Arabidopsis thaliana: one gene and its partners. The protein of the gene in region 3 binds, or shares a complex with, the protein of the main gene of each other region. Each region holds a gene or a part of one and is shown on either strand. Other genes may lie near its edges.

Evidence for each region.
Region 1: TAFII59 (region 3) and TAFII15 share a complex: the UniProt entries of both Arabidopsis thaliana proteins name them as parts of the TFIID complex.
Region 2: TAFII59 (region 3) and TAF11 share a complex: the UniProt entries of both Arabidopsis thaliana proteins name them as parts of the TFIID complex.
Region 4: TAFII59 (region 3) and TAF13 share a complex: the UniProt entries of both Arabidopsis thaliana proteins name them as parts of the TFIID complex.

Annotation. Positions count from the first base shown.
Region 1 is NC_003075.7:15,351,499-15,359,367, reverse strand, and holds TAFII15 (TBP-associated factor II 15), read left to right. Parts: upstream 1-2,936; 5' UTR 2,937-3,177; intron 3,178-3,197; exon of another isoform or gene 3,198-3,564; intron 3,565-3,627; exon of another isoform or gene 3,628-3,644; 5' UTR 3,645-3,663; coding exon 3,664-3,756; intron 3,757-3,852; coding exon 3,853-3,917; intron 3,918-4,318; coding exon 4,319-4,381; intron 4,382-4,566; coding exon 4,567-4,618; intron 4,619-4,712; coding exon 4,713-4,763; intron 4,764-5,064; coding exon 5,065-5,145; 3' UTR 5,146-5,321; coding exon of another isoform or gene 5,322-5,397; 3' UTR 5,398-5,448; coding exon of another isoform or gene 5,449-5,529; 3' UTR 5,530-5,572; downstream 5,573-7,869. Other genes in the region: AT4G31715 (uncharacterized protein), read right to left, coding at 5,322-5,397, 5,449-5,529, 5,666-5,709; GLR2.4 (glutamate receptor 2.4), read right to left, coding at 6,406-6,837, 6,916-7,322, 7,406-7,696, 7,851-7,869. UniProt on the Arabidopsis thaliana protein: TAFs are components of the transcription factor IID (TFIID) complex that is essential for mediating regulation of RNA polymerase transcription.
Region 2 is NC_003075.7:10,950,761-10,957,216, reverse strand, and holds TAF11 (TBP-associated factor 11), read right to left. Parts: upstream 3,678-6,456; 5' UTR 3,517-3,677; intron 3,439-3,516; 5' UTR 3,426-3,438; coding exon 3,109-3,425; intron 3,039-3,108; coding exon 2,951-3,038; intron 2,863-2,950; coding exon 2,763-2,862; intron 2,681-2,762; coding exon 2,553-2,680; 3' UTR 2,141-2,552; downstream 1-2,140. Other genes in the region: AT4G20300 (Serine/Threonine-kinase, putative (DUF1639)), read right to left, coding at 399-932, 1,397-1,404; AT4G20290 (uncharacterized protein), read left to right, coding at 1,633-2,058; BAM3 (Leucine-rich receptor-like protein kinase family protein), read right to left, coding at 4,293-4,621, 4,746-6,456. UniProt on the Arabidopsis thaliana protein: TAFs are components of the transcription factor IID (TFIID) complex that is essential for mediating regulation of RNA polymerase transcription.
Region 3 is NC_003070.9:1,402,585-1,411,908, reverse strand, and holds TAFII59 (TATA BOX ASSOCIATED FACTOR II 59), read left to right. Parts: upstream 1-4,377; 5' UTR 4,378-4,480; exon of another isoform or gene 4,481-4,703; 5' UTR 4,704-4,724; coding exon 4,725-4,850; intron 4,851-4,950; coding exon 4,951-5,037; intron 5,038-5,266; coding exon 5,267-5,368; intron 5,369-5,461; coding exon 5,462-5,570; intron 5,571-5,851; coding exon 5,852-5,952; intron 5,953-6,028; coding exon 6,029-6,166; intron 6,167-6,253; coding exon 6,254-6,349; intron 6,350-6,674; coding exon 6,675-6,799; intron 6,800-7,159; coding exon 7,160-7,292; intron 7,293-7,582; coding exon 7,583-7,708; intron 7,709-7,796; coding exon 7,797-8,303; 3' UTR 8,304-8,313; intron 8,314-8,468; 3' UTR 8,469-8,824; downstream 8,825-9,324. Other genes in the region: AT1G04970 (lipid-binding serum glycoprotein family protein), read right to left, coding at 286-693; AT1G04960 (golgin family A protein (DUF1664)), read left to right, coding at 1,485-1,724, 1,876-1,957, 2,086-2,153, 2,280-2,381, 2,468-2,557, 2,904-2,978, 3,080-3,112, 3,215-3,292 and 2 more; AT1G04945 (HIT-type Zinc finger family protein), read right to left, coding at 9,258-9,324. UniProt on the Arabidopsis thaliana protein: TAFs are components of the transcription factor IID (TFIID) complex that is essential for mediating regulation of RNA polymerase transcription. Required for proper pollen function. May stabilize the interaction of TFIID with selected promoters.
Region 4 is NC_003070.9:576,804-583,633, reverse strand, and holds TAF13 (TBP-associated factor 13), read right to left. Parts: upstream 3,010-6,830; 5' UTR 2,889-3,009; intron 2,565-2,888; 5' UTR 2,551-2,564; coding exon 2,448-2,550; intron 2,357-2,447; coding exon 2,319-2,356; intron 2,138-2,318; coding exon 2,078-2,137; intron 1,991-2,077; coding exon 1,916-1,990; intron 1,820-1,915; coding exon 1,715-1,819; 3' UTR 1,324-1,714; downstream 1-1,323. Other genes in the region: AT1G02670 (P-loop containing nucleoside triphosphate hydrolases superfamily protein), read right to left, coding at 3,335-3,407, 3,504-3,584, 3,667-3,755, 3,835-3,987, 4,109-4,213, 4,322-4,438, 4,617-4,739, 4,843-4,912 and 6 more. UniProt on the Arabidopsis thaliana protein: TAFs are components of the transcription factor IID (TFIID) complex that is essential for mediating regulation of RNA polymerase transcription. May be involved in polycomb repressive complex 2 (PRC2) mediated repression.

The DNA of each region.
Region 1 (7,869 bases), on a different chromosome or scaffold from region 3:
GCCGCATTGTCCATTGGCAATCATTCCACTAATCACTATTAACATGAGAAAATAATATTTGTATAGTTTTGTTGTGTGATTGTGTCCCACGTTTCGTCAGCTTCCACTTCGCACCTTTTAGCAGTAGAGGGTACGTTTTCTTTCTGCACGGACAATCACCGCTCGTCGTTTTGTACTATTCGTCCCTACTCCTCTCATACATATAAATGGAAACGTTCAAAAATCTGAATGGCTTAAACAAATTAAGTTCAAAAATTGTTAGACGCTACCTAAACATCAAATATCCTATTGAATATGTATTCTTAGTACTAGTGAAAATCGTGTAAGTGAAGTGTGGGCAAGAGAAAGATGAACTTGTTAGTTGGAAATTAATCGATAGATGTTAGACCGTACCGTGGTGATCGAGGTTACAGACCATGAACCTATGATTTCTCATATCAAACTTACGAGTTCATTACTTCAAAGTACATTTAGTGATGGCTAATTAAAGGGCATTTAGAAAACTAATACGATTTTTTGAAACATGTAACTTTGGTATTATTTAAGCAATATCCATTACGCTCGTTGTTTGCTTTACTAAAGGGCAAGTTTCGTATGAGGCAAGGCCACTTGGATATGAAATACTCCACAAACTTTATTCTACGCATATCAAAATTTTAATTATAAATATAGCATGCCAATCTTTTTCCTAAAACAAATCTCCAATATTTAATTGCAATTTCGGTGGATAATCGGATTCCACTTTTGTACTTGAACGGCCAGTTCTTTCTTACTAGTAACTTTCATTCATGTTTTTTAATGGTTAAATACATTTCAACTATAACAGAAATTGTTGGCAAGAGGCGACCAATCACCAACGAAAGCTCGTGTAGATTACATCCACATAAATAATTATTACATGTATTGCTGTTTATATTCCAACTTTATCATAAGTAATCTAGTTAATTGAAGATTAGCGACAAAAATATGATATTAAATTGGATGGGAGAAAACATATATTTAATTAAGCAAACGAACATATTCGCAACTTGAGTTTTTGGGGGGTGTTTGGTGACGTACAAACTTCTCTTCTTCTAGATAAGGAACTATGCACTACAAATTTTCTTAATTATGCACCACAAATTTTCTAAAGTACGATTAAAAAAGAGGAAATCTAAAGCCAAAGTAGTAATCAACCCTACAACAACACATGAGTCACGACTTTCAGTTAACTACAATTATACAAATATTACTTGATTAAGTGGTGTTATCTTAACTAGTGTAATGTATGTTTGAAATTAATAAAGTCCATCTACAAACCATTTTATCAAAACAAAAAATCCATCAAGCAAATTGAAGCCACTCTTATAGCCGACTAACCGTACCTACAAATTTTCTGTTTCAAACTTATGCATATCTATATGGGTGCTTATGATACTTCCTATTAAATTTAATAAAATTAGTAAAAATTTCCCTACCATATATCATATTATTATTTTTTCGATCCAAGAAAGTTACTTTTTAAAATAGTTTTCTATTTTGTGACACTTCTAAAATATTATAAGTGTATAGCCATTTTTCCCCAAACAAGGAATAGTCTATCAGTCTATACAGTATACACACGATTTATTTGCAAAGAACCTACATACACAATTTCTCTTCTACCATGTTAGATTTTTAGTACTTGTTTTACTAGATTATGTATTTTTGTTTGTCTATCGGTCTTTTAATTTTCACTTGCTGGAGGTAAATAATGAAGGAAGTAGTTAAAAATTGAGATAACATAGTTGTGTAGAAATTAGAATACAGTGCAGAACTTAAAAGTATGGTTACGATCACATTGACAACAGTCGATATTCCATTGAGATCACATGAACATTGCTTCGTTAGAAATGCTCGTCGATCGCCTGAAGTAAACCGATTTGATTGGCCACCATGTTTTGCCTCTTCCTGATTTCATTGATATATTTTATTTTTCTTTACTATTTTAAACAACAAAAAAATTTAGAATCCGTATTCCAAAAGTAAATTAAATTTTTGCATACAATTTTTCTTTTTCTTTAAAATATCTAGGTTTTAATATAATATTCCATAATTTGATGAAAAGAATTAAAGAGAAAGTTCAAATCAATCCATATAGCTTGTCCTAGCCTATAGCCAAAAATATTCCTATGCCGCGATTGAACAACCGTTTTTTAAAAATCGTCAAATTAAATCAAACCTTTTTCCATGACAATGAGACTTGGATATAGTTTACATTAGATTCTGATTGGCCCCTTTGATATAACTAGGTAAACTAGCTTCTTGAATAAACTGTCTCTTATTTTGGTTTTATACAAAAAAAAAAAAGCTTTTGGAAAATGATTTAAATGTAAATACATAATACGTAGCGTCTAAGAAGCATATTTGAGAAAATATGGATTTATTTATCTGGTATTTATCCATTAATTTACCTACAAATGGAATCCACCATTAACCAAAAACAAACAAACAAATGGAATCCCGTGAAATAAAGTATCATCATATACATATCTCTCTTTTATGTTTTTATGGAGAGAATTAGTCCAATCCTTCTTCACTGAATTTACCACCTGCTTCTCGTAGAATATATAAAACTACCCTTAAGTCTTTTTCTAATGACTATGAGTTGACAAATGAGAAAAACAAAAACTGCTTTTGTTGGTCATTAAATATTCCGTCTAGATGGAGTTAGTGCTTTCATTGTCATATTCTTTGTCTCCCATCAAATTAAAGCTCACTATACAGCAGATTGTACAACACTATACACTAAAGTTACATTTTTGAGATTTTATTGATTGACAATTTCGTTTCGATATTCTTAGATACACTAAACTCAAATATTGATTTTATGGGAAGAGAATAAAAAATGGATTGTGAAAAAGGAAAAAAAAAAACCTAAATTTGGGCCATATGTGAAGAATACTTCCTTAAGTTTGGGCCATAGTTTAAATCAATAGGCCCATTAGTCTATCTAACGATTCTTTCTCAACTCTTAAAAATCTGACCGGCGGAGATGGCTCTGAGTTGGACCAGTCGGAGGATTAGGGTTTCAACGGAGACTCACTAGTCGATCTCCGATCCTTTCTTCTACCCGCCCGAAATCCGTCGAAACTTCTCTTCTTTACCATTGATTTGCCTCGTCTCAGCTCAATTCTCTTCCGTTGCTGCTTCGTTTAGGTTCGCATTATCGCTTACTTTATTGAATTTTTCCTCTATGTCTCTGGTTTCAATTTCAGCTCAATTTTGTCTTTTTTTCGGTTGAATTTTCTCTTGGGTGGTATCGAATTTTGCTCATGAATGCTGTTTCTTGATGAATCAGAGCCCTCTTAGTTTACTTCACGTCGTTCAATTCAAAACTTGGTGTGGTCTTTTGCAACACAAATCAGGAATAGTTCGTTACTTAGAAACAATAATGTCATACGAGAAGACAAATCTGGAACAGAGAATTAGTAAATTGAGCTGGAAAGTTTCAGTAGTCAAAATTCTCGTAAAACTTATTTTGGTATAATTGTGTCATGAGTCATGACATTCTTTCTTAGGTTTCGTACAAGTTTCTAATTTGAGGTAGATACTAGTTCAGAGGTTCTTTATTAATGTTTGATTTTGAAAACCTTTCTTTACTTACAGTTGTTGCTTCGCTTCAGTACTCTGGTGGTGGGAGAGATGAATCACGGCCAACAATCTGGTGAGGCAAAGCATGAAGATGATGCTGCTCTTACAGAGTTCCTTGCTTCTCTGATGGATTATACTCCTACTGTATACTTTCCTTTGTACTAGTTACAACTTTTTCTCGGCTCTACATGACTGAAATTTGGGTATTGATTGAGTTCTGGATTTTTATTTTTCTTTCAGATTCCTGATGATTTAGTGGAGCACTACTTGGCTAAGAGTGGATTTCAGTGCCCCGACGTACGATTGTAGGTATTTCCGACAAGTTATATCTGATACTTACAATGAAAGAGCAGATAAGTTGATATTGAATGGAATCATTGTTGGGTCTTAGAATGGGTGACCAGTAGTTAGATCAATGGCTTGGTTTAAATCATTTTGGATTAAGGTTTTGCCCTGTTTAACATTCCTGTAAAATGGTATGATAAAGAAGTCTATGTTGGACTAGCACTGAAAAAGATTGGCAATTTGAATGTAAACTTCAGAGTTCAGTTTGAATGCGTAGAATAATGAGGGGATTCTTCTCTTTCTATCAAATTGAGTGCTGAATATTGGTATATTTTAGTTTTTGAGTTTTTCACTCCTGTCATAATCTTTTCCTGTATCTATTCTTGCCAATATTCTGTTTTTTTGTTTACTTGTTTGACAGGATAAGGCTAGTTGCTGTGGCTACACAAAAGTTTGTTGCAGATGTTGCCAGTGACGCCCTTCAGTAAGTTTTCATTCTCTTCACAACGAATTATCATACCCTTTTTCATATTTGACTTGTAATTGAGAAAGAGAAGACACTGCCCATTCTGAGTAGATGAGATGAAAAGATGTCTACGCTAGATTTTCCCAGAAGCTAAAAGCATTGATATAAGCTCCTGAATAATAAAAATTGTCAATTATATACAGGCATTGCAAGGCTAGACCAGCACCAGTTGTGAAAGACAAAAAACAGCAAAAGGTAACATCTGACTCCCTTTTGTTTTTTTTCCCTCTGCAAGACTGCAACAAATATGTTTTGGATGATGACATGAATATTAATGTTTCCTTAACAGGATAAGCGTTTGGTATTGACAATGGAAGATCTTTCAAAAGCTTTGCGTGAGGTAAATGCTTCTTCCTCTAAGTTCATGCTTCTGGTATTGTTGTCCCTCAGACCTCCAATGTATGAGAAGAAAATGTAGATGTCTCTTGTTTTTTTTTACTTAAGCTGCAAATTACTCTAAATACACATGGCATGAAACTAATTCAGTATCACAGAATCAACATAAAATGCTTAGAAACATGTTTTAGAGTTAGTGGTTATAATATTGTGTATTGCAGTAGTGTAGGTAGATAGGTAAGGTTTTACAGTCTCGTCTTAACTAGTAGTGGGAAGCTAACTCGTGAGTAAACTCGGTTTGGCAGTATGGTGTGAACGTGAAGCATCCAGAATATTTTGCTGATAGCCCTTCGACTGGAATGGACCCTGCAACAAGGGACGAATAGAAACCAGGAATTCCTCAAAATCTTTGCCTAGTAAGGACGGTCATGTGTCTCAGATCCCTGATTCTCTGTTGTGTTTCAGTTAAAAACAAAACTCACTTGTCTTGCTAGTCCTCAATTACTACATTACATGTATATTCGTTTGTTGTTTGTTCTCTGGTGATTTTTGGGGTTCTACATCACTTATCCACCATTCTTGCAAGTCTCCAAGTCGTGAAAATAAGATAAGTATCCATCCTTGTGATTAACTGGATACTGTAGGATTGAAAAACCACAAAGTATATTTTCCATCTAGCAATGATGAACCTAAGTGCTTCTGATCTAACTTGAAACATTGCCACACTCTGTTGTATACCTTTAGACAATCCCCCTTTGTAACCGCGGCATCTCAATAATAAAGTTACTTTTTGGAATTTAGCAATTGAAAAAAGCTGTTCTGTTTTGTTTTTTCACTTTCTCATGTCCGAATATTCTTTACCTAGAAATACATGAAAGAAGACAACAATCTGAAAAATCTAGTAACCTTTCGTCAGCTTTTACAACGCTACATTGAAGACAAGAACACATTGGTTTTTTCATCACAAAGAAAGTTGAAGATTCTTGAGTTTTTTTCCTCCTGAATTGTTTGAAATGGTGAATCCTCCACTTCAGTCTCCGACCAATCCGCATTTCTTCCAGCCACTACTTCCCGGTTTCGAGTGTCACCTCGTACACACTCTCTCTGTCTCTCTCTGTTTCTGTCTTTCTTTCAGAGTCGGTTTTGTTTTAAATGTTTTGAGGCTGAAAAGTTAAGGTAAGTTTCAAGTTTTTTATATGACATAGGTACTTGTGGTTTCTGAGCACATTCTCCTTATATGTATACAGGACCATAAACGTTGTCTGGAATGATTCTATATGCCGACTTTTTGTCTGTAATATGTAAAGTCTCTGTCCAATTTCTTCTCGCATGACTTAGCTAAAATATCTTGGTTTTACAGGAGAAAGAGTTTCTATACTAATACAAAATGGTTGAAGAAGCATGCAAAGTTGGTGGATTTTAAGACTTCTGAGTTCCATTAATTTGATACTATTGACGACAATCTTCAAAGTCGGTTTTGGCTCGCCGGGAAAAGATGCACATATGGTCAAGTCTCGTTGTAACTTGGAAAAGGTTAGGAGTTAGTAAGTGTGTGTTTAAAGGATTGCACTAGAATCAGTGAGCTGTGATGATACAAAGGTAACTTTGGCTACATGAAGAAGATAAAGAAAAAAGTTCAAAGATTTTTAGCCGTTAATGGGATCAATGTCCTCTTCCCTGGGTTGTATTAACACCTGAGGACATGTTGATCTCACACGGCTAATGTATGATTCACCATCACTTTCCATGAACTTTAACCACATCTCCTTCATTCGTTTGCCACGGTAGAATTCGTCATTCAAAATAATCCGATTCTGAATCAAGAAACAGATCACAAACTTCAACAAGGCAAGGGTACAGACAGTGGCTGCAGCAACAAATAGAAGCAAGAAACTATCGAGGCTGAGCTTTCGGAAGGAGACTGTTGGGTTTGGGTCAGGGTTGTTCATTGGATCAGGACAAGTTTTGTCTATGTTCTTGAACCACGCAGTTTCAAGTTGAGTTGCTTTGTTAGACTCTGCCACTTTCAAAATGGCCCTTGATACATCGGCTACTAGAGGCGATCCAATTGGGAAGACCTACAGAATCGAAACTAGTTATATGCATCATTAAAAGGAAGGATTGTATGCAAGCCAAAGAGAAGTGATGGAACTTACAAAGCCAAACCCGTCAACATCAAATGGCACCTCCACCATTTTATATTTCTTGCAATATTGTCCAAGAAAAACTCTCACGTATGGTACTTCCATGAAGGCTGCAGAAACACCACCCTTTGATGGTCCCTTGTTCAGAAGTTCTTCACATTTCTCTGGAGAGGTAAATGGCACGAGTCTGGACTCAGGGAAGCCCGATTCTCTCAGTTTCCCCAGTACGAATGAATCTCTCTGATATGCCACAGGTCCTCCTTTTGCAAGCACGTTCTTGATGCTCGTTTCAGTTGGATTGAGCTGTTGTGTTGTGAGAAGCGATGACAAACTGGCAGTATAACTCTGAGTCAGCACAAGAACAATGAAGTACCAAGTGATAACCACAACCCTTGCTGTAAAGCTCATTACTCTTTCTCCTGTAAAAACATAACTTTTGAGAGTAAACTTATGGAAACAGACTCGTTGCCTACAGAGAGTACTAGAGGGAAAGCGAACATACTGGGTGCAAAAACCATGATGGAGAAGGCAAACCAGAACATAGTGCTGATCTGGTACTGGGGAGGTCCAGTGAATTCAGAGTTCACCCTATGTTCAAGAATCCACACAACAAAACCAACAACAAAAAAAGAACCAAGGGTCATCCCCCAAAGCCCCGGTGTCAAAGGTTTAAAAAAGATCAAACTGCTTCTTGCCACGTTATCTTTTAGAGGGACAACCATCCCCACGCCCGATGTTGTGTATGGCAAAGTGAAATCAACATAGGATGATCTATTTGCCAATATCGTCGTATCTCCCACCACAGCATCAAATACCTGCCTCATAGACAAGGAAGGTGTTGTTTCAGAGCAATGGTTGAGTTATGATAAGAAGAAAATGAAAAAAATTGAGGAACAGTCACAGGCTCACCCCGAGATAGACTTAGTACGATAAGTCGTTGAAGTTACCGTTAGTTTTTCCATCATC
Region 2 (6,456 bases), on a different chromosome or scaffold from region 3:
TTACTGTCATTTCCCAAAAAGGAATTTTGGATCACCAAACTTTCGTTAAAGCTTTAACAGAAGATGAAACCAAACGTTTGTTTAGATCTCAAAAATGAAAAACCAGAAAACGAAAATCATTTAAATTGAATATATCAAACCTTGAAAATCAAAAATAGCTTTACTTTATATAAAAATAAAAACAAGGGCACATTATTTATCACATAACATGGATGAACAAAAAGAGAAATATATGGAAGCTAATGAAGTCACGATCATATGGATTAATTTACAGTAACAAAATCTAAACGATTAAAGGTAAAAAAAGACAAATCAAACTCGATTCTAAAACATTTAAGGTAAGTAAATATATCAAAATATGGAAATTTAATTGAATGAAGAAAGATTTGAGGCTAAACCTGGAAGGGAAGAAAGATTCCTTGCCGATAACGAAACCGTTTCTAGGGTTTGTACTCCGGCCCGAGAAAATCGGCGGAGCTGGTGGTGGAGGTGGCATAGAAGGATTCATCGATCTTCTTTGCGGTTTGTTTGATTGTATCTTACCTTGACCTGAAGAAGACGAAGAATCATCGGCGGTGGTTGTGATGGTGGTGGTGGATCGGATCTCAGCTCTAGAGGCTCTCGATCGTTTTCGTTGTCCCCACTGTAACAGTACATCACCGCCGCGACGGCTAGGACTAGGATCTTGTTGTTGTTGCTGCTGTTGAGTGGATCTGAATCGGAATCCTTTGGGGACTCCGTCTAGAGATGAGGTGTTGTTGGTGGTGGTTGTGCATGATCCGCCGTTAAATCCTCTTCCGGCGATTGAGGTTGTGGTAATGACGGTGGTGGTGGTGGTGTCTTCGTTTGTTGCTCTTGATGGTGATGGTCGTAAGTAAGGCTTCTTACCTCCATTTGTGAGAGGAAGACAATCTGGGCTTACTCTCTGATACCTAATCAAAAACACAAAAATAATTAGATCAAAATCATGAAAACGAAAAGGAAGATTGAACTGTGAAAAATTGTAAAAATGTGTCTGTGTTTTATGCGAGATTTTAGAGTTAATCTTCTCAAAATTCTTCTGAGTTTTAATTGAAAATAACCCAAATCAGAATTTGACGGAGAAGCTCTGAGATTATTTTGTTTTTGTTCAAAAGGCGAAAAACAATTTGGTTATTGGATCAAATTGAGATTAGTTAAAAACTGGTGAATCCAAAGAAGACGAAATCTGGAGGAGATCAAAAGTTTTTGACATTAGAGTCAATCTCAAGTTTTTTTACAATCAAACTCAGATCCATAGAAACTAATTAGAAATCCAGAAAACAACAGAAAACCAAATCAGTGGAAAATAGAAAAACTCAGAGAAGATGGAAAAAACACAGAGAGAAGAAGAACGGAGAAGAAGAAGAAGAGAAACCTCATCATTATACCCAAGTGAAAACCAGATTCGAATTATGTAATGGTTACGTTTCCGATTCCGATCTGTGATAGTTTTTTTTTTGTATCAGGAATCTATGATTCGTTAAATTTCTTCTCCAGAACAAATTTCGATTCCGATTAAACGAGGATAAACGAAACACAGCTTCCTCGTGTGATTCTAAGTTTCTCGTACCGATCACCAGCGAATCAAAAGGATTATATTGAATAAAGAGAATGAAAAAAGAAGGGAAAAATATTTGTGTAGAGAGAAAAGAGAGAGGAGGAGAAGAGAAGAAACGGAGGCGCTCTGCGTTAAACAGTGAGGAGGATGAAGAAGAAGAAGAAGAAGAAGGAAGGCGGAAGGGAAGGAGAAAGATAGTGGGTGCGTTATTGTGTCAAAACTTCTTTTATTCTTTTTATTTTTCCAATCCAGTCCTTTTATTTTCTGTAGACTTTCAATTCGCAACCCACTTTGTTTTCTTCTCTTCACGTAATAGTTCGTTTCGAGATCGGCCCATTATCAGGCCCACTAGATCCTCTTTCGCCGGAACTTGTGTGATTCAAAACGTCTCCGTACCAATTTTGACAGTAGACCGAATTCTGATCGCGACGGTTTTCAATCACGCCGAAGAAATACACAATTTGAATTTGAACTTATAAACCCAGTTCTTGTAATGTTCGACCAAAAACGAATCAATACTAAAACCAATTTTTAGGTATAGCCAAATTTAACCAAATAAACCGGATTACAAATGATTTTATTTGATTTCGAATTCTATAAAACCGGAAATGAAACCGAATCCAACCTAGTAAACCGGATTGCCACTTTTAGGCCATGTGGTCTGTAGTCAAAGATTGATCTTGTATTGAAAATGAAAACTGGAAACGTAAACCAAATAAAAACCAAACCGTAAGACTGATAGCCATTTCAGGGTCTGTATCCAAAGATTGATTTACTACAAAAGTTGTCACACAAAGTTAAGAACATCAAAGAACAATATGATCCACCAGGGAAGCCAAAGAAGTTCTCCTTTATGATGAGATTGATAGGCAAATCTCGCCAGCTTAAACCTGCCGTAGACCCTTATCCTTGAGCAGCATTGGTAAATTCCCCAGTCTTAGGCTGATATAAGTTCTCTTTTGGCTCTTGTTGACTAGCGGAAAAGGCGTGGAACTGATCTTTTAGGCACTTTTCCTTCGAGCTTTAGTCTCCGATAAGACTCCCTGATATGACAAGGTCTGATAGGTCCTGATTCTTTCCTTTCCGCCATAACAACTCGAGCTACAGATAATGTATTGAGGTTCAGTAAATGAGCTTTGTTGGCACATAAACAAAATCATTGGAAATTTTTGCACTGGCTTACCTGTTTCAACGAGTTCACCAACGAACATCTTTGCAATACCACACGCAACAATAATCATTGGCATACCAATCTTCTGACTACCAGTGACACCTATCAATAACTGCATTAACATAAAAGCTAAATGGTTCATATTTGCAATGAAACAAAATTAAGAATGTTGATAACCACAAATCATATAACATATATACCTTCTTCATCTGTGGTCTTTGAAGTGCAGATCTCCTAAAAGATTCATATCTACTCATCTGATCCTCAGTGAATTGCGATAATATGGTTCTGAAGAATTCAACAAACAATCAATCATCAAAGAAACATGAAGAACAATCAAAATTCTACAAAGACTCACTGCATTTTGGCCATTTTAGCAGGATCAGAACTAGTTGGATATTTAGTAAGCTCAACATCCATATTCTCTTCCTCTTCTTCATCATCTTCATCTTTATCTTTGTTCTTAGCTTCAGTAACAACAACAGAGGTTTTAGCTTTCTTCATCGGACGGCGAACATCCACAGGTCTCTCATCTTCATCTTGAGTCTGGTCGATTTCAATTCGTCCGTCTTCACTACCATCACCTCCTCCTCCTCCGCCAACGGGTGATTCCGGTGGCGATTCCTCTTGCTCTTCCTCAATCGCTGCTTCAAACGGATCCTTTGAATGCTTCATTCCTGATTAAAACCTAAACGAAAAAATCACATAATTGAGATCTCAAATTAGGGTTTAGAACGAAGCAAATTGCTACGGATCATTGACGAACCTTGAAGGTGAAACTCAGATCGAATTTCAAGAGACACGAATCTCTAGACCGTTGTTAACAACAACTGGGAGCTCCACAATCTTCCAGGCGGAGAGGAAAATTCATCGACTGTGTTCAATTTCAAGCTTTTCTATAGGAGTGTAGCGACTGTTATAAGTCGGTTTAGTCCAATCAATTGGTGGATCAAAAGAAAAGATCTGAACCGGTTTTTGTTAAACCAACCCAAAAAGTTTCGAGAACCACATCATTGGATTTGGGCTGGGCTCAGTTCAAAACCACTGAATAACTAACTGGTTTTTTTTTTTGGAATACAATGTTGGGATAACGATTTACAACTAGCCAAATGTTATAAATCGAGCTAGACAACAAAATTAAAAATATCAATGATAGTGAATTGGATACTAAAAAGTAAAAACACTCAAATGCTAACTATTTCTATAGATATTGGATAATCATATGTTAAATCAAATGCTTGAGTGATTTCAACATTTTTCTTTGGTCATCATGATTTTTATAATTCCAAATGAATCAAAGAACAGTTATCTATTTTTTCAAATCTTTCACATAATTCATAATTTTCTAGCAAATGTTATTTAGTTTTGCTTGATACTTTATGATAGGAAGATATAATGCTAACCCTTTTTTTCCTCCTCAATTTCAATATAAACTCATATCACCACCAAACCATCATTACAAATTCTAAAAACAAAACTCTATGAAACACATAAAACAGAAAAATATATATTTAGTCTCTTATATATATAACATCACTGCATTTAGAAAGTATTAGGCTGTTTAGCCTGAGAGATCATCTGGACAACCTCTCTCATGGTCGGTCTCTCAACACTATGTTCTTGCACACATAGCATTGCCACAAAGAACAGTTCCATGGCCTCTGCTAATGGAATATTGCTCAATCTCTGGTCAATGATCTTCACCACACCTTGTCTGTTACAGTTTGTTTGGATCTTTGACCATTGCACAATGTCTATCCCTTCTTCCCCAAAATTATCTACTGGTTTTCGACCCGTAATCAGCTCCAATAACACTACTCCGAAGCTGTACACATCGCTCTTCTCGTCTATTCTCAGTGTATATGCATATTCTGCATTCAAGAAACGGATAAAATGGGCTAAGATCAATCATACGTTTTAACTAGAAGTACTGAAATCCTAAGTTTGAATGTTACGTGTGATACAAGAAAGTAGTATTAGGAATCAGTCATGTACCTGGAGCGATGTAGCCGTACGAGCCAGCGATCGAGGACATGCACTCGGAAGCTCCATTGTCTTGCATCATAAACTTAGCAAGCCCAAAATCAGCAACATGAGCTTCAAACTCAGGACCCAACAAGATGTTGTTTGACTTCACATCACGGTGGATTATAAGTGGCGAGCAATCATGGTGAAGATAACACAACCCCTTAGCCGCTTCCAACGCTATTTGCAACCGTGTTTCCCATTTCAAAAACACTCCAGCTTTCCCGTGCAAGACTTCTCCGAGGCTACCATTAGGCATATACTCGTAAACAAGGAGATTCACGTCTTTGTTTGAACAAAAAGCGAGCAATCTCACTATGTTTCTGTGTCTGATTCTACCTAATGTCTGAATCTCTGCGGCTAAACCGTTGTCATGAGATGATCCTTTGGTTATGGTTAAGAGCTTCTTGACTGCAACTTCTTCTCCGTTTGGCATTACCCCTTTGTAGACAATCCCTCGTCCGCCTTTCCCAATCACATGGTTCTCTTTAACACATTCTAATATGTGTTCGCTTCTGAAACCGAGCTTCTGAAACCCTATAAGCTTCCATAAATTCGGGTTGTTCTTTCTCATTCTCCTATTCTTGACCACAGCTAAAACGACGAACACCAAGAAAAACCCTAGTAGGCCTAACCCGAAGAACAACTTGAATTTTGCGGAGATTTCACCTCGGGATCTTGCGTTGTTCTGGTTAAGTAGCTGAGATTGAGATTGGTTTTGGGAACCGTTGCAAGGGTTTGAAGAAAATCCACAGAGAAAAGGGTTTCCAAGGAATGACGTGTTGTTGAAGTAAGAGAATTGCCCTGAAGTTGGTACTGAACCGGAGAAGTTGTTGTGTGAGAAATCTGCTGATGTTAAACTCTTCATGTATCCGAGTTCGTTGGGAAGGCTTTGGTTAAAGGAATTCCAAGAAACATTCAGATAGTTTAGAATCCGAATCTGCGATATCTGAACCGGAATCTGACCGGAAATCTGGTTGTGACTCAAATCTAAATATGTGAGTGACATGCAATCACCAAACTCAGGAGGAAACTTGCCTGAGAAGTTGTTTCTGCTCATGTCAATCTTGAGAAGACTCTTCAAACTTCCGATTTCGCCAGGGATCTGTCCCGATAACCGGTTTGCACCGAGAAGAAGAATCTGAAGGCTTCTGAGGTTTCTGATTGAACCAGGAATCGGTCCGGATAACCTGTTGTTGGACAGATTGATCTGAGTAAGGCTCGAAAACTGCGCATTTCCCGCCTCTTCTTCGGGGATTTCTCCAGTCAAAAAGTTGTTTTGAAGCTCAAGAAGCGAAAGATTCGGCAAATAAATCAAACCCTTTGGCAACTTACTTGTCAGAAAGTTCTGTCCGAGACGGAATCTCCATAGCGGTTCACATTGGCCAAGATCTTCAGGGAGAGGACCGAACAAGAAGTTGTTGAAGAGAATGAGAATCTTTAGTCTTCTTCCGAAACAGAGTGACTCAGGGATCAAACCTGTGAGTTTATTGGTAGACAAATCGATCTCGATCAAGTTCCCGTTTGATCCGAGTTTCGAAGGAATCTTTCCGGTGAAATTGTTGTGCCAAAGCTTGAGTATTTGCAGATCAGGAAGCTCAGATACGAACTCAGGGATCTCGCCGTGTAGTCTGTTGAAGAAGAGGTTAAACAACTGAAGCTTTTGAAGTCCAGATAGCTC
Region 3 (9,324 bases):
GAGAAGGCGAGAATCAGCACTCATCAAATTCCCTTTGTAAAACAGATATAAAAATGAGCAGATCACAGCAACAACTAAAACCAACACATGGAAATGGTAAACAGAGAGCAACAGTCACCTCTGATTCCCATATGCAACTATGTTCTAAGACATATAACAATCACGAAACATAAGGATACAAAACAGAACAGAAATTTGTGATTCGCAAGAAAAATCTTGTCTTTCCATTGATTCACAAGATTGAGATGATCAAAACTAAGAATTAGTAAAATTGATCATAATTACCTGAACAGATGCAATACCCTGATCAGATATTTCAATAGGAGGAAGCCAAGTACTGTAAGAATAATGCCAATTCATACTCAAATTACAAGTCGTCCCTGAAGCGACGATGACAACACCTGTCTCACCAAGCTTAACATAAGATGACGCAACGTCAAGCTCGTATATCGTGAGATTCGAGACAACAACATCGATTCCTCCAAGGAACGGGATTTTCATAGATTTCTCAATTCTGGGAATCTGGAGAGGTATAATCGACGCGATAGCTTTGTTAACTAGAAGATTTTTGACGAAATCGAGTCCGTTTTGAGATACGAGAACCGATGTGAATGAATCGGTGCTCTGCGTTTGTGAAGGCAAGAAGAAGAAACTTGGTAATAGAAGAAAGAGAAAGCATCGTCCAACATCCATGGCGGATATTCAAAGCTTTTTTTGTTTTGGTCTCTCTATCTTCTTCGATGAAGAAAACAGGTTAATACAGTGAAGTTGCGTAATGGTTTGGATTATTGAGAAATGTCTAAAATAACCTTAGTCATTCGATTTGCATTGCCTTCTGGGGTAATCTGATTCAAAAGGAAGTGTTTGGGGTGAATACATAAATTGTTAAAATATTAATGTTTCTGGTCAATCAAAGCTAAAGCTGAGGTCTATAGGGCAATAAAAGTATAAATACATATGTAATTGTATATACTGTACATATTAACGTTTGATATGTATATAAGCTCAAGTGGTGTTAAATATTCTAATATGTGTCTAAGGACAATAGTTCGATTAAAATTGGAAGCTTCGGGGGTAAGAACATAAGTTTTGAAAAGTATTTATCTTTGTGGTAAATCAAAGCTAAAATTGAGGTCTAAAGGGCAAAAGGGTGTCATAATTGGTCTCTCGCGGTGGCTTGGCGACACGGAACAGAGAATTAATCGAGAATCTTTTTCAGCTTGTAACCGGAATTCATGGCGATGCAAGCCGGTGTTCAGACCTCTAAGGTCCTTATCCTACTCGGCGCAGGTCTCTTTCTCACTTTGATGCTTGTTTTATTATCTTTGCTTGTTGTAATCAAATTCGATTCGTATTGCTTTGACTCTCTAATCTAGGGAATTGTTTTATGAAGAGTTAGGGTTTGAATTTATCTTGGCAAATTGATTGATCACTTTGCTAAAATGGTCCAGAACTTCTAATCTTCAATCGTTAGTGTAGTTTTGATGGTAATACAGCTTGGATGTAGCAAGAATGATTTAGTTATTCTAGCTTGGATGTTCCATTTAATGACCTTTAATGACACTTGGTTCTGTTTTCATCATGTCCAAGGTGTATCTGGTTCGATCGTATTGAGACATGGGAGGTTGTCTGACCTAATAGCCCAACTTCAAGACTTACTCAATGGTGCTCAAGGAGTTGAAAGCACTCCTTTTAAGTATGACGGTGCACTCCTTGCTGCTCAGGTATTTCATTTTCTTTTGCTCTGTAAGCTTATTTTTCTCATCGATCCAACATAAACAATCGGAATAGAAAATAATTCATCACTCTTTATCACTAGGCCAATACTGGACTCCCCTCTTAGTGACATAATTTTTGTTGTCTCTTGATAACCAGATTCGACAGCTTGCAAACGAGATCAAAGAACTAACTATGACCAATCCAGTTACCATCTTTAATGGAGATTCAAACTCCAGTGGTATGTACAAGTCTTAGTTTCTCATAAAATATTTATGTACTACTTTTGATAATGTAGGAAATGTTTCAAATATGTTTATTTTTTATGAGAAACAGAGAATGATATAATCTTTGCTTTTGCTCTTGTAGGCTATGCATCTTACCTGGTTCCAGCGGCTGCCGTTGGAGCTATGGGGTACTGCTACATGTGGTGGAAGGTGTTTATCTCTTTAAAATCTGTCTATTTTTCTCTATGTTTCATGTGTCTTTTGTTATAGTTTTGTAACATGTGGTTTACCGGTAAACTATATATCATTGACTTCTAAGGTTTACCCACATTGCAGGGCTGGTCGTTTTCAGATGCAATGTTTGTGACAAAGAAAAATATGGCTGATGCGGTTGCCTCTGTTTCGAAACAACTAGACGATTTGTCAGACACATTAGCGGTGAACAAATAATTTTTTTGAGACCTTCCTCTGTTATATATTCTATTTCATTATGATTTTTTGACCTAGTGCATTTGTTTACGCAGTCAACAAGGAAACATCTTTCTCAGAAGCTAGCGACCTTGGATTGGAAGGTGGAAGAGCAGAATGAGACATCTAAAATGATCTTAAGTGATGTAAGGAACCCGTTTTATTTCTCACTTTCTTGTATTGATGCCTTATTTTTTCCTTAGACTTAAGATTAGGATACTTATACATTCGTCTGAGAGAGATCTCCTCTTGTACATTTAACATCTTAGAAGAATTTAAAACACATTTAGGAATTCCAAAAGATTGTAGAGTATTTATTTATTAACGTCCTATCTCTTTGGCCCTGAACTGTTTTTCTTCACATGTACAGTAGAGTCCTTTGTTTCTTTCAAATTACAGCTTGATTCTCATATCTGCGATTTACTCCATCTATGCCTTTCTTTGATATTCATTTTAATGCTAATGCTCACATGGAATCTTGCTTCAATTCAGGTTACTGAGATGAGATCAAGCATTTCGCAAATTGGGTTTGATTTTAAGCAACTTAATGAAATGATTTCTGGAATAGTAAGTCTCATCATTGCCCTCTAATATGCATCATTGCCCTCTAATATGCATATTTTAAAGGGGCTAATATATCTTTACTCTCTTATATGAAATTTTTACAGGAAGGGAAGATTGAAAGTCTTGAAAGCAAACAAGTAATTTGTCTACAACCATTAGATACTACAAACCACTTCACGCTATCAATTTTCTTAAAACTAATTGATCTCAAACAGATATTTTTTTTGTTAAAATTTTAGGATGTGACCCTCTCTGGACTATGGCATCTATGTCAAGTTGCAGGCGTTAAAGACAGCACAAGTACTAAAGTATTTCAGGTGAGTGTTAACTTACAAATTAAGTGAAACGTTTTCTTACTTATTTTTCACGTAGTTATAGGCCTTAATGAAAAAAATCTTGTTTCTGGCTTTGTGGTTTAGGATGTTGGTGAGAGATTACCTATTGATGGAAAACCATCCACTAATACTTCTCTCTCTGTAAGAATGCTACTATACCTTTTTCCATCATATAAATGTGCATTTCCATTCTGTTGACGCAAAAAAGTTGCTTATAGTGAAAAAATTCAACGAGATGGTTGATCTTGAATTTGCATATATTCAAGGCAATCTCTCATCAAGCTTATTCGAATAAAAATTGGAACCTGAAAATACTTGTGGTAGTAGCTGTTATTTGATGATTTCATGTCATGATGTTTCTTTGGCTTTCTAAAACTATAAAACTATGGAAACTCCAGGGTCTGCGGTTTCTGACGGAAGGCAAAGAGGATGCAAATGTAATACACAAGCCGGTTATGGCGAAAGAAATTATGGTGATGGGGGAAAAAACAAAAGTCACTGCAGCGGGAAGAAGCAGAGTTCATAGAGCGTTTCCAGGTGGAATATCTTGGGTACGGGATGTTTCAGGACTATCCTAATATTATTTTGGTTGATATACAAAGAAATTGCTTGTATTCGTCCCAAATTCTGATACTGGGACTGGCAATTATTTTTTCATGTAAAAAGAAGAAAAATCTACATATGTTATTGCATCCACCAACAATTTGGTTTGCCCCTAATTATATTTGGTCTTGATGTTTGTAAAGAAAGAGTGTGATTAAGGCTTTCACGTATGTTGATGTCTTCATTGATTTGGACTTTTGTGCTCCTTTTTCCTTTTGTGTTTGGATCAATTTTGTTTGTGTAGAAAATAGAAAGAACTACCACAGAAGACAGAACTACTGTCTTGAAACATTTGTTTCGTCCTTTCTCGTAGGATTAATTGTCTTTAGTTGGCAGAGAAATAAAATATTTCGCTCTTATTGGGCCTTGGCCCAAAATAGATATAGAGACAGCCCAAATTTAATTTAACCCGAAATAGTCCAACCGGGTGAATTTGACAGCAATTAAAAAACCCGGCCCGGCTTCTTATATTAACAAGAGGCTTGGCATCGGTTAATCGGAGCTTCTTTCCTCTCAAGTGAAGTGTCTGGATCTTCGTCGCTCAACGCAAATCCCTCTCCGGTTCATGTAAATTTCCAACTTATTTTTGTGCTCGAATTTTGGTTAACGGGACAAATTTCACACTTTTACGGAGTATGGAAGCAGCCTTTGTCTTCTGGGCTGTTGAATTGCGATTCATTGTGTATGCCCAACAATGGTTTAATTGGGAGGTTCCAATGATTTTTTGTGCTTTTTTCTTACTTAATATAACCACTGTTGATGTTTCTTCTGTGTCCTTGTATCGCCACAGTGGATAAGCAGCCTGGGGAAGATGAGCATTGTACCTAAGGAAACGGTTGAGGTAATAGCTCAAAGTATTGGGATTACCAACTTGTTACCTGAAGCTGCTCTTATGCTTGCTCCTGATGTTGAGTATCGTGTCCGAGAGATCATGCAGGTTACCTTCTTTTTCTAATCATGTCTTTGTGTTCTTGAGGTGAGTTTTCTGGTATCAGCATATTGATCTTTCTGTACCTTCTCTTTGGATGTCCTTTCAGGAAGCTATCAAATGCATGCGTCACTCAAAGAGAACGACTTTAACAGCTTCGGATGTAGATGGTGCTCTCAACTTAAGGAACGTTGAGGTACAAACTCGATGACCTATTTCTTACTTCCCATTATCTAGAGTTTTGGTTGTGTAAGCTTCCTGGTTTTTGTAGTTGAGTGACAAAGATATATGGTTTCTAGTTTTGAGGTTTGGCTTTACTGGTGCATATGAATAACACCATCTGTTACACATTGCTTTCACATATTTCACTATTGTAGTCAACTGAATCAAAGGCATCTTTTTGAGAGTGATTATATCTATTGCAGCCGATATATGGATTTGCCTCAGGAGGGCCATTTCGTTTTAGAAAAGCTATTGGACATCGCGATTTGTTCTACACTGATGACAGAGAAGTGGATTTCAAAGATGTAAGATGTTGGAAAAGCTGGCATGTTTTTTTTGTTTCAGTTAAATTCTTCATTTTGGGTTCCTTATGTTTTCAAGAAATGTCATGATTCTAGGTGATCGAAGCCCCGCTGCCAAAAGCTCCCCTTGATACTGAAATTGTTTGTCACTGGCTGGCTATTGAAGGAGTGCAACCAGCTATACCAGAAAATGCTCCTTTAGAAGGTTTGTCTCTCAATCTTATGCCCTGGGCTAGAGTTGTAAAGTCATTATATGAATTTTTCAACATGAAACAAATATTAGTATGTACAATGACGTTTCAGAGGTGTATAAACCTCTTTCTACAGTTACCCCGTGTTAAGTGGTGAGCTTACTGATGTTACTGAAAGATCAAAATACATATTTTCAGATCCATCTGTATTATTGTTTTGCGGATCCGCATGAGCAAGAAATCCTTGTTCTTTCCTATCTTGACTATATTTTTCACTTGTTTGTGTTGTCTCTAGTCATTAGAGCACCTGCAGAAACCAAAATCCATGAACAAAAAGACGGACCTCTTATTGACGTTAGGCTACCAGTGAAGCATGTACTATCTAGGGAACTTCAGGTATATGGTGCAGTCTAAATATCATAGGGTAATATCCTTACATACATAGGACTTATCTGTTGTTCTCTCTTCACAGTTATACTTCCAAAAGATTGCTGAACTTGCAATGAGCAAGTCAAATCCTCCTCTGTATAAAGAAGCATTAGTGAGCTTGGCCTCAGACTCAGGACTTCATCCTCTAGTTCCATATTTTACAAATTTCATTGCTGATGAGGTAACATTATGCACCACCGAGGAACTAGTGTGAACCAATAAGACCCACGTTAAGTTTTTGCAGTTTTAATTTTCTCCACTTGTGCAGGTTTCAAATGGCTTAAATGACTTCCGACTCCTGTTTAATCTAATGCACATTGTTAGAAGTCTTCTACAGAATCCTCACATACACATAGAACCTTATGTAAGTTTTCTCTGGATTATCTTTTGCCACTATCTAAAAAATTGTAGAATCATGTAGCTCCATTTTCTTTAGGCTTCTGATTTGGGTTTCTTCAAGTTCTATATTAGACATATTCTATATAATGGGTATCAAATGGTTAGTGGTAGTGTTTGTCCGAGGTCTGCAAGCTCGAGTGCTTAAGTACTCTCAGTCTGCTTGAAATAACAACAAGTTTTGCCTTTGATCTGTATTGAGATTATGTAAACCAGCCTTGGGATAATGAGTTGGTTGTTTGAGCAATGTTTCATAACCATGAAGCTGAGTGAACTTTTTCTTTTGGTGCCAGCTGCACCAGTTGATGCCATCTGTTGTAACATGCCTTGTATCAAGAAAGCTTGGAAATAGATTTGCTGACAACCACTGGGAACTCAGAGATTTTGCGGCAAATCTGGTTTCACTGATATGTAAAAGGTTCATTATTTCCCTTTCATGTCATGAACTCTGTGTTTGTTTTGGTTGATTGTGGGGATCTATACATGATTTCTTACTGGAGCTAATAATGAAATTCTATAAGGAAATATCATGAGATGATTATCCATAGATGTTCTGCTAAGTTTATCTTGTTTGATCTCTTTACTATTGATATCTACTTCTTTTTTGCTCGAGCTGAAAAACAAATGGTTAGATCTATATTAACAACAATTAGTAATAACTTGCTATAGTCTTCTTCATTATTTAAAAGGGTACATTGTCTCGCACTTTTATTTTACATATCTCACCTTTATATTCTTTTAGCATCTGAAATCCTGTGATTTTAATAAAATCTTGCAGGTATGGAACCGTTTATATAACTCTTCAGTCTCGTCTTACCAGAACTTTAGTCAATGCACTGCTGGACCCAAAGAAGGCTTTGACTCAGCACTATGGTGCGATTCAAGGATTAGCAGCTTTGGGGCACACTGTTGTAAGTCATTCCTTGACCTTTCAGAAAGTTTGTGCATGCTATTTCAGATATCACCGAGAAATAATGTTACCCAGCTTGTCCTTCAATCTAGGGACTTTTCAGAATCTGAGATACAATTTGATTTGCCCATACCATTTTTCCGGGTTTGCTTATTCATTTTATTGGGAAATTAGGACTTTTATCGTCTTAAACGGCTACTCCAGTGAATCAGATACCCCTGCTACCAAAAACTTTAGCACAGCTATCCTGCATTGTTATCTGTTGTCATCTGAATGTCATATATTGTGTAGGTACGCCTTCTTATTCTATCAAATCTCGAACCATATCTAAGTCTTCTCGAACCTGAATTGAATGCTGAGAAGCAAAAAAATCAGATGAAGATCTACGAAGCTTGGCGTGTATATGGAGCCTTGCTGGTTAGTAAACACATCCTTGTAAAATTTCATCTTTGTAGAATTCTCAGTGGACAATCCTTAGATGGACTTGCCCCCTTTTTCTTTTCAGCGTGCTGCAGGCTTGTGTATACATGGCCGGCTTAAAATCTTCCCACCTTTACCATCTCCGTCACCAAGTTTTCTCCATAAGGGAAAGGGAAAGGGAAAGATAATCAGTACTGATCCCCACAAGCGGAAGCTGAGTGTAGATTCTTCAGAAAACCAATCACCGCAGAAAAGATTGATAACCATGGATGGGCCAGATGGTGTACATTCACAAGATCAATCTGGCTCAGCTCCAATGCAAGTAGATAATCCAGTGGAAAATGACAATCCGCCACAAAACTCTGTTCAGCCATCCTCATCAGAACAAGCCTCTGATGCTAACGAATCTGAAAGCAGAAATGGAAAGGTGAAAGAAAGCGGCAGGAGTCGGGCTATTACCATGAAAGCAATCCTTGATCAGATATGGAAAGATGATCTTGATTCCGGACGGCTATTGGTGAAACTGCACGAACTCTATGGTGATAGGATTCTTCCCTTTATCCCTTCTACAGAGATGTCAGTATTCCTCTAACCAATAAGAGGTGAGCTATTCTATTCCCCAACTTCCTGATATTTACCTCATCGATATAAAACTCATGGTTCCAGTCGTGAATGCAATAAATATGTGAAATCAAAAGAATAATGATACTCAATACATTAATGCTAATGAAATAGATGTTTGATGATTTTCAAGCAGAGAAGGAGGCTTGGAGAGATTAAAGCGCCGTCTGGTTGGCATACATAAACTCATTTAGATCCGTGCCATTGTTCTCAGGTCAACTCTTTAGTTCTTCTTTTTAAGCTTGAGGGATTTCAAAGTCCTTAGGAGCCTGCAGAGTGGGTTGAGTTGAATTGAACCGGTTGCAATGTATATATTAAGAGAATTTTAATGATTCCGTAGTGGACTTATTTGTTTACTCTCAAATGTAATCCATGAAATAATTTCTCTTCAAATCTGTATGATCTAGATTGCAATTTTTGATATTGTTGTTTACATGTATGCTCTCTTGCTTATTTACTCTTTACATATAATATCCGTTCATAGATTATATCTATTGTTGATCCTTCTGGTCCGTTGCTAGAAAACTTTTGGGCAAACTACAAGGTTTGGTCTGTATTACATTGACTATAAAGAAGATCTGAAAGACAACAAGATTAATTTATGAGGATCTATAGGAGGATAAGACTGAACAAAAGTTTCGGAGACATTCTTAAGTTAACTATCTTGTATGTAAACAATCAAGTTTGCTACAAACCACAGAACAGCCTAGTAATCTGGTTTACTACAAAAGAAATACCTGTTGATCAAAGCCCAGACCGAAAACTTATGACCATCAGTGCTGTGGCTTATTGCATTCCAGTAAAAGCTTTGGCTATTACCAAGTATAGCTAATGTGCTCGAACAAGAGAGCTTCAGGCATGAACATAATCCTCAAAAATGTTTCACAGAGAGTAATTCCTTTTTGCCAGAACAAGACTATGACCATCATTCGACGATTTCCCCTTCTTCTAAATCTAGTCCATCAGCGATGAAATCAGTATCTAAATTTTGG
Region 4 (6,830 bases), 820 kb from region 3:
ATCACTAAGGCATTCGCCGAGATTGGTATTTTGTTTCATATGAAGTAGTTGGAGTATGAGGCATTTGGTTTTGATGCATAGTTGAAGAGTCGAGATTTTTGCATCATCTTGAGGATTGGTCTTGGAGTTTAGAGAGATGATCACCGTTGGTTCATCTCGGTAGGTTAATCGTATGGCGAGGATCCAATTCTTGGCTATGGAAACTTCATTTGTCACCGTTGTTTCTATGAGTTTTTCACGAAATGGAATCAACTGTGTAATTGTTACCATCGCTCAGTATGATTTTTCACTTACGCATATGTCCATGCATAATATAAACGGTTGGTATTATCAAAGTCTTCAATTTTCGAAAAGAACTCGATTCAATGAATTGGTCAAATGTGCTATTAATATGACCAATTTCCGATTGAAAACATTGAACATAAAATATTTAACGAGATCTTTAATCTGCAAACCAAATTTAACATTCCCCACAAACACAAATAGAATTTAGTAGATATACTTCATTCTCCTATTTTCTCATTAATGAATTCAAATACACTCACTAATTACAGAAACAAAAATGAAGAAAAAGTTAAAAGGAATTAAATTAAATTATAATACAAAAACCAAAAATGACCAAGAAATTAAAACCTGAATGATGATGACGTAAACTTGATAGATGATACGAACCATAATTAATAAGATCATTAATGCATCACTATATATCCCTTTGGCTTTGCAACGATCAGTGTAAACCTGATTTTGCATCTTCATTATTGCATAGAACCTCAGCTTTCTCATCAATCATATCGTCTCCTCCTTCCACATCACTATAACATTCATCTTCTTCCTCATCAATATCATCATCATATAAGGACATGGCTGATCCATATCCCGAGATTCCTGATGATGATGAAGATGAAGCCGCCGTGAAAACCTCCATAGTCTCTGATAAACGACCCTCGGAATCATCATCATCTTCATTATCATTATCACCATCGTCTCCTCCCATTTCTGTCGCTGGCAGAGGAGGAGGAGCCGGAGGGAGAACAATTGTGTTAGTAAAAGTTGACGATGGCATTATCGTAATTTCGAAACGGAGTTTACGTACGGACTTAACGACTCGCCGCCAGAACCTGGTGTTGAAGGGTTTTCTCCCCGGCGGCGACGAAGCATGAACATGACGACGGAGAACATGTGCATCCCACGTGATGACTTTTTCTTCTTCATGCTCGTGTTGTTTATTTGCTCTATCTCTAATTGATCACAATGATTTTCTTTAGTTGGTAATTGATCACCATTCTTATTTATTGTTTCCATGGTAAAATAATGAATCAAAATATCAGAAAGATGACGAAAAATTTAGAGAAAAACAAAAGTCTTATAATGATGACTAATTTTATAATTATTGCGGTAATTAATTTAATGAAAGAAACAAAAATCGGGTGGTTATTCTAAATTTTTAGGGTTTCGAAATTCCTGACTCAAGAAAAATTAAAGGTCGTCCGTAGATATATACGGGATGCTAGATAATGGGCTTTCTTCTAATGGGCCTACATTTAATATGAGTCGGCCTTGTGCAAGATTTTTTTTCACCTTTTTTAAGTCAACACACTTTTTTTTTGCTACTGTGCTTCGAATTCTGATTACAACCTAAAACGCTGTCCCTAGTCCGGCATCCATGAGGTTCCTCTTACCTAGCATTTGTTCCTCCCGTTGAGGAAAAGCAAGATCAATCAACGAGTTCCTTTTCGTCGACATCAAAAGCTTTGCGTGCTTGTTTCAGCTCTTCCTGCATCGCCAACAGTTCTCTACAGCGGTTCAGTTTTGGCAAATCCTGCATAAATCAAAGACGCCAAAGTTTCGGATATAGAATACAAAACCATAAACCATCTCAATCATCGATTGTGTACTTTTTAAAAAGAATTTTTACCTTGCGGATAAGATACAAGAAATCATCAACTAGAAGTCTTCCTCGCTTTGAACCAATTTCTTGAGCTTTATGTGTCTGCCATTGAAACATCACTTGTTAGCTAATATCTCTCCGCTTGTAATGTAAAACATGAATCATTCACAAAAAGAAAAAGCTCACTACCAAATCTGTGACGTATTCCACAACAATGTCTTCTACAAGCGCCACAGACTCTGGAAGAGGCTAAATACAGAGGAGTTTTGGATCAGTTTCAGGTGGTAAAACACTAAAAGATGTTACACGACCAAGAACCCTTTAAAGCAAAGATTCTCTACCTAATTCGTTACTTGTATTGGAATGAAACTATATCTACAAATACGGTTCATATGGCAACAAAATAGTAATGAAGAGGATAGCGGCTTACGTTTTGCTCGTCGCCAAATCCATACATCATATGCTGCACTGAAAAATCAACAAAAGCACCAAAACCATTGTTACCAGAAGAATCACAAAATGAAGAATACAAAAATCTGGTTTTAACTAAAGACTTTACATTCTTTTTGAAAGAGAGTTTTGCGCTTTTCCTGTGGCTGAGAAGTTCCCGCAGCTTTCGATTTAGACGATGATGACGCCGCCGCTGCTGGTGTGTTACTCATCTCTTCTTCTTCTTCTGATAATCAAAATCCAGGAGAGCAAAATAATAGAAAAATAAGTGAAATTCCTCTACCGACAAAATCCAATTGAGTCAAATACTAACCCTAGGTGAAAATTTTCAAAAAAGAAAAAACAGTGTAATCTCAACTAGAAAATGAAATTCCGAGCCTATATTCTAGATTTCTACCGCAATCAAAACCAGAGAGCTACCGGAAAGTTGTATTCCGGTACAGTACAACAACCAACGGAGTTAAATCGAATAAGGTTCTTTATCCAAATATTTGTCGTCATGGAAAAGGAATGAAAATTGAAAAGGGAATAGTGAGAGCAGAGAGCTCACCGTAGATTGATCGACGGGAGTAGCAGAGGTGGTCGTTGCAAAATCGGCGATGAAGATGATGAGAACGAAGAAACGGGGACTTGTTCACTGATCTCTCTCTCTCTCGTAGAAGAAGCACATTGCATTACATACGAAGTAATTGGGCTTAATAAATAGGCCCATTTATATTAAACCAGCCCATAATCTAAACCAGAAACCCGTACACTAGTCGACCGACATTGTAACTAAGTTCTCACGGTATGGCTCAAACCGGCCATGGCCTCATGCTCAATATTCTTCGGGAGAAGGAAAAGTTTGTGATCCGATTCATATACAATCTATCCGGTGCTCATCATATTACACAAGTATGTATCAAATCTTTTAGCTTGAGCCTAATTTTGTCCTGTCAAGACTCTTTTTTCTATCTATACAAATTTTCTATCATGTTCTTCATCTACAAGATTTGGTTATGCGAACAGGGACTTGATATCGTCTTCTCCCAGCTTTTGTACAACGGCCTCTTCAGAGTCACCTAACGTACTGTAACAAAGCAAATATGTCTTCATATAGGCTTCATACAGTTGACAATAAGAAACCAGCAAAGTTGAGAGAAGCGTATCGTTTAAAATAAGAAACCTTTCAAACAAATCTTCCTTCTTCTTTTGAAGCGTTAGTATCTTTTCCTCTACTGTTTTCTCCATTATGAATCTTACAACCCTGTCACACAACCAAATGTTTCTTCTTTCTTCCCCCACCAAAACAACATACAGTATATTGAAGGACAACTCAAAAATATAACCTGACAGGCTTGCACTGTCCGATCCTATGTATTCTGTCCTGTGCTTGCCTCTCAACCGCTGGGTTCCACCACGGGTCCATCATGAACACCTATACAATCAAACACCCGAATGTCAGTGAATAAAACATGTTCTAGGAGCAACTGTTTTATAAGTTGTACACTTCTTACATGCGAAGCGGCTGTTAGATTTAGAGCAACCCCTCCAGCTTGCAAGCTCATTAATAAAACTCTGCAATCTGGCTCTTCTTTAAAATTTTTGAGTGCAGCATCTTTAGCTGCCTTGGACATGCTTCCCACCAGTTGAACACAGCTAACCCCAGACTGCGTTGTACAAAATGAGTCAATCATTTTTATTCAATGTCTCATTATGATTAAAGAGAATGTTAAAGGAGCACAGATATAGTAGTAGTAGCATTTTGTAGTTGGTTGCGCTTGAAATTACCTTCCCCAAGGCGTAACTTATCAGGTCCAAGAATGATGTGAACTGGCTGAATACTATTGCTTTGGCAGACCAATCTCTTTCAACCATGAACCTGATTTCTTCTCTCTGCATACAAATTTTTTTTATCACCAAATGGTTAGATAAAGCCTCCAATCTCCAAAGAAACTTTAAGCGTGGGAGAGACAGAAGCTGTAGATCTCAAAGGGCACATACCAAAGCCTCAATCTTTGTACTTGTTTTAAAATCATCGAGGTTTATCCGATTTAAAATGCTAGAGGCTCTAAATCCTTTAAGCTTTGTCTTGCTTGCCTGATGTTCACTAGAAGTCACCTTCAAAGTAAGAGAACCAAAGACATATTAACCGAACAAGTTAAGTCCAACATTAGTCATCCGATGATTCTTTAAGAAAGTGTAAAATGGTGGCAGCTATTTCCAGAAGATACAGTTACTGAGAAACAAGAGTCGAGATAGTATGAAATAGCAACAATATATCGACTGGAACACTTACAAAGTAGTCCTTGGAAGGGTCATGGCCGAAACCACATTCTTTCTCATTTTTGTTCGCATCAAGCAAGTTAGCGTTAGCGCCACTAGGACTAGAATAACTCACCAGGTATGGATGATCAACAGCCTGAAAAAATTGCAAGAAAATGCATCAGAAATCTATATACCTATATCATCCAAAACATGCACTGGCTTGTAAATAGAACAACAAAACTATCGATACCACTCACTTGTCTCAGTCGGATAAGAAGACCAAATATATGTGCATAGTTATTCATCAATGTCCCAGCCTGAATATACCTGCAGAAACAAATGTACATGTCAGATTTAATAATAAAATTCAGTTTACACAAAGCATGGAGCAGAAACCAGTGAAAATCCATAGAACAAAAGTAACTTACCCATCAAATGTTGTCTTGCTAACTTTGTATAGTGATTCATAGAAATCAGCTTCTACTACACTTAGTGCATCTCGCCTCAGAGAGATCTAAATTTATATGTAGAGATCAAGCTCGGAAGCAACTATACCAAGCTTCATTTATATCAGACAAGGGAGAGAAAGGAACATACGATTCTAGAAGGAAGAGCAAGGTCAGCTGCCCGGCCCAATTTAGTACGTCTTAGTAGAATGTCCTTTAGAACATTTTGTTTAAGGAATATACAGGCTCTGTTTCTCCGTTTGTCCACATTCTAGCAAGATTGGAAAATATAAAAACCAAAGAACATAATGGTGATCCTGCTTTTAAAATGTTTTTAATAATGGCACCTCAAAGTTACCTCTTTCCACCAAGAGATGTGTTGATTTGCATTATGAGGACAGCTGGGACATTTTCGATGCGCACTGCAGTCACCGCCAAAGCCCAAAGGCAATGGACAAAGGAAATGAAACAGCAAAGATTGTTATGAACTATCAAACAGAAGTATGGGAAAGGAGAAAGTAACCAGGAATTGAGAGTGGTAAGATGTTACCTCCGATCAAGAACTTCACAGTCACATTTCTTGCAAAAGTAATATGAGTATGGCGAAACGCGAAGGAAGCGTATCTGGGACAAACAATCAGCAATGTTGAGATATCATTACGTGCTATAGAAAAAGTTGAGGAAAGAGTAACTAACCAGGGAGTAGAGCTCGTCAACATCATTCTGGAGAGGGGTACCACTCAGAGCCCATCTGTAGGTCGCCTCCAAAGCAAAAACAGCTTTGGCAGTGCGACTACTTCTGTTTTTGATATCATGAGCCTGATATGAAGACAAACGGGAATTATATCAAATTTGCAGTGAGCTTCCCCTGAAGGATAAAAGATTCACAAAAAGCAAATTTGCAGTGAGCTTCCCCTGCTGTGGTTTACTGTACAATAAATCTCACAGTCCCCTTTCCTTACATGCTTGAAAATGGAAAAGAAGAAGAACCAGCAGGTCTTGGTACTGACCTCATCGACGATGATACGATTCCACTTAATAGAGTGTAAAGGAGACATTGTTTCGTCCACTCCTTCATCCTTCCTATATTCATTCTCAACTATGGGAGATGTTGTCAAAACAAAGTCGTAATTCATTAACTTTTGAACATTCTTGTCTCTCTTCGGCCCATGGTATTGAAGAACCCTGGTGCTTCCCGGGGATGTCAACCGAGAAATCTCATCTAACCACTGAGAAAGAGCAACAGGAGGAACAAGCACAAGGGTGTGCCCAACTGCTTCCCTAGATTTGGCTCTGTCAACTTCCCGTCTGGCAAGAACGAGAGAGATGGCTTGTATTGTTTTCCCCATTCCCATCTCATCAGCGAGAATGCCTCCTCTTACGGCTGATAGTTCCTGTATTGTAGCCCAAGCCAAAAACTCCTTTTGGTACTTTAGTAGCGGTATAATCAAATCTAGAGGCTGCTCAGCAGCTTCAGCAATGACTGCATTCTGCTCATCAAAATCATCATCCTCTGTCATCTGAACCTTTTCTTTCATGATCTGCCATTTTCTTTTAGTGTTTGCAGGAGCGGCAGGATTTGGTATATAGTCATTAGCATTGACCTCACCTGTGTGAGCAAGACATGATGAAAATAAACAGGTGTGAGCAAATCGAGCATCAATGACGCCTAATAGAAACGATGCGGTACCTTGAACTTCACCGCCGACTGAATCATCATCATCAGGAACTTCTTCTTCTTTGAGATTCTCGTCTATTTCAAACAAACCAACGAATAATTTTGGTAAGGAAACATGAGA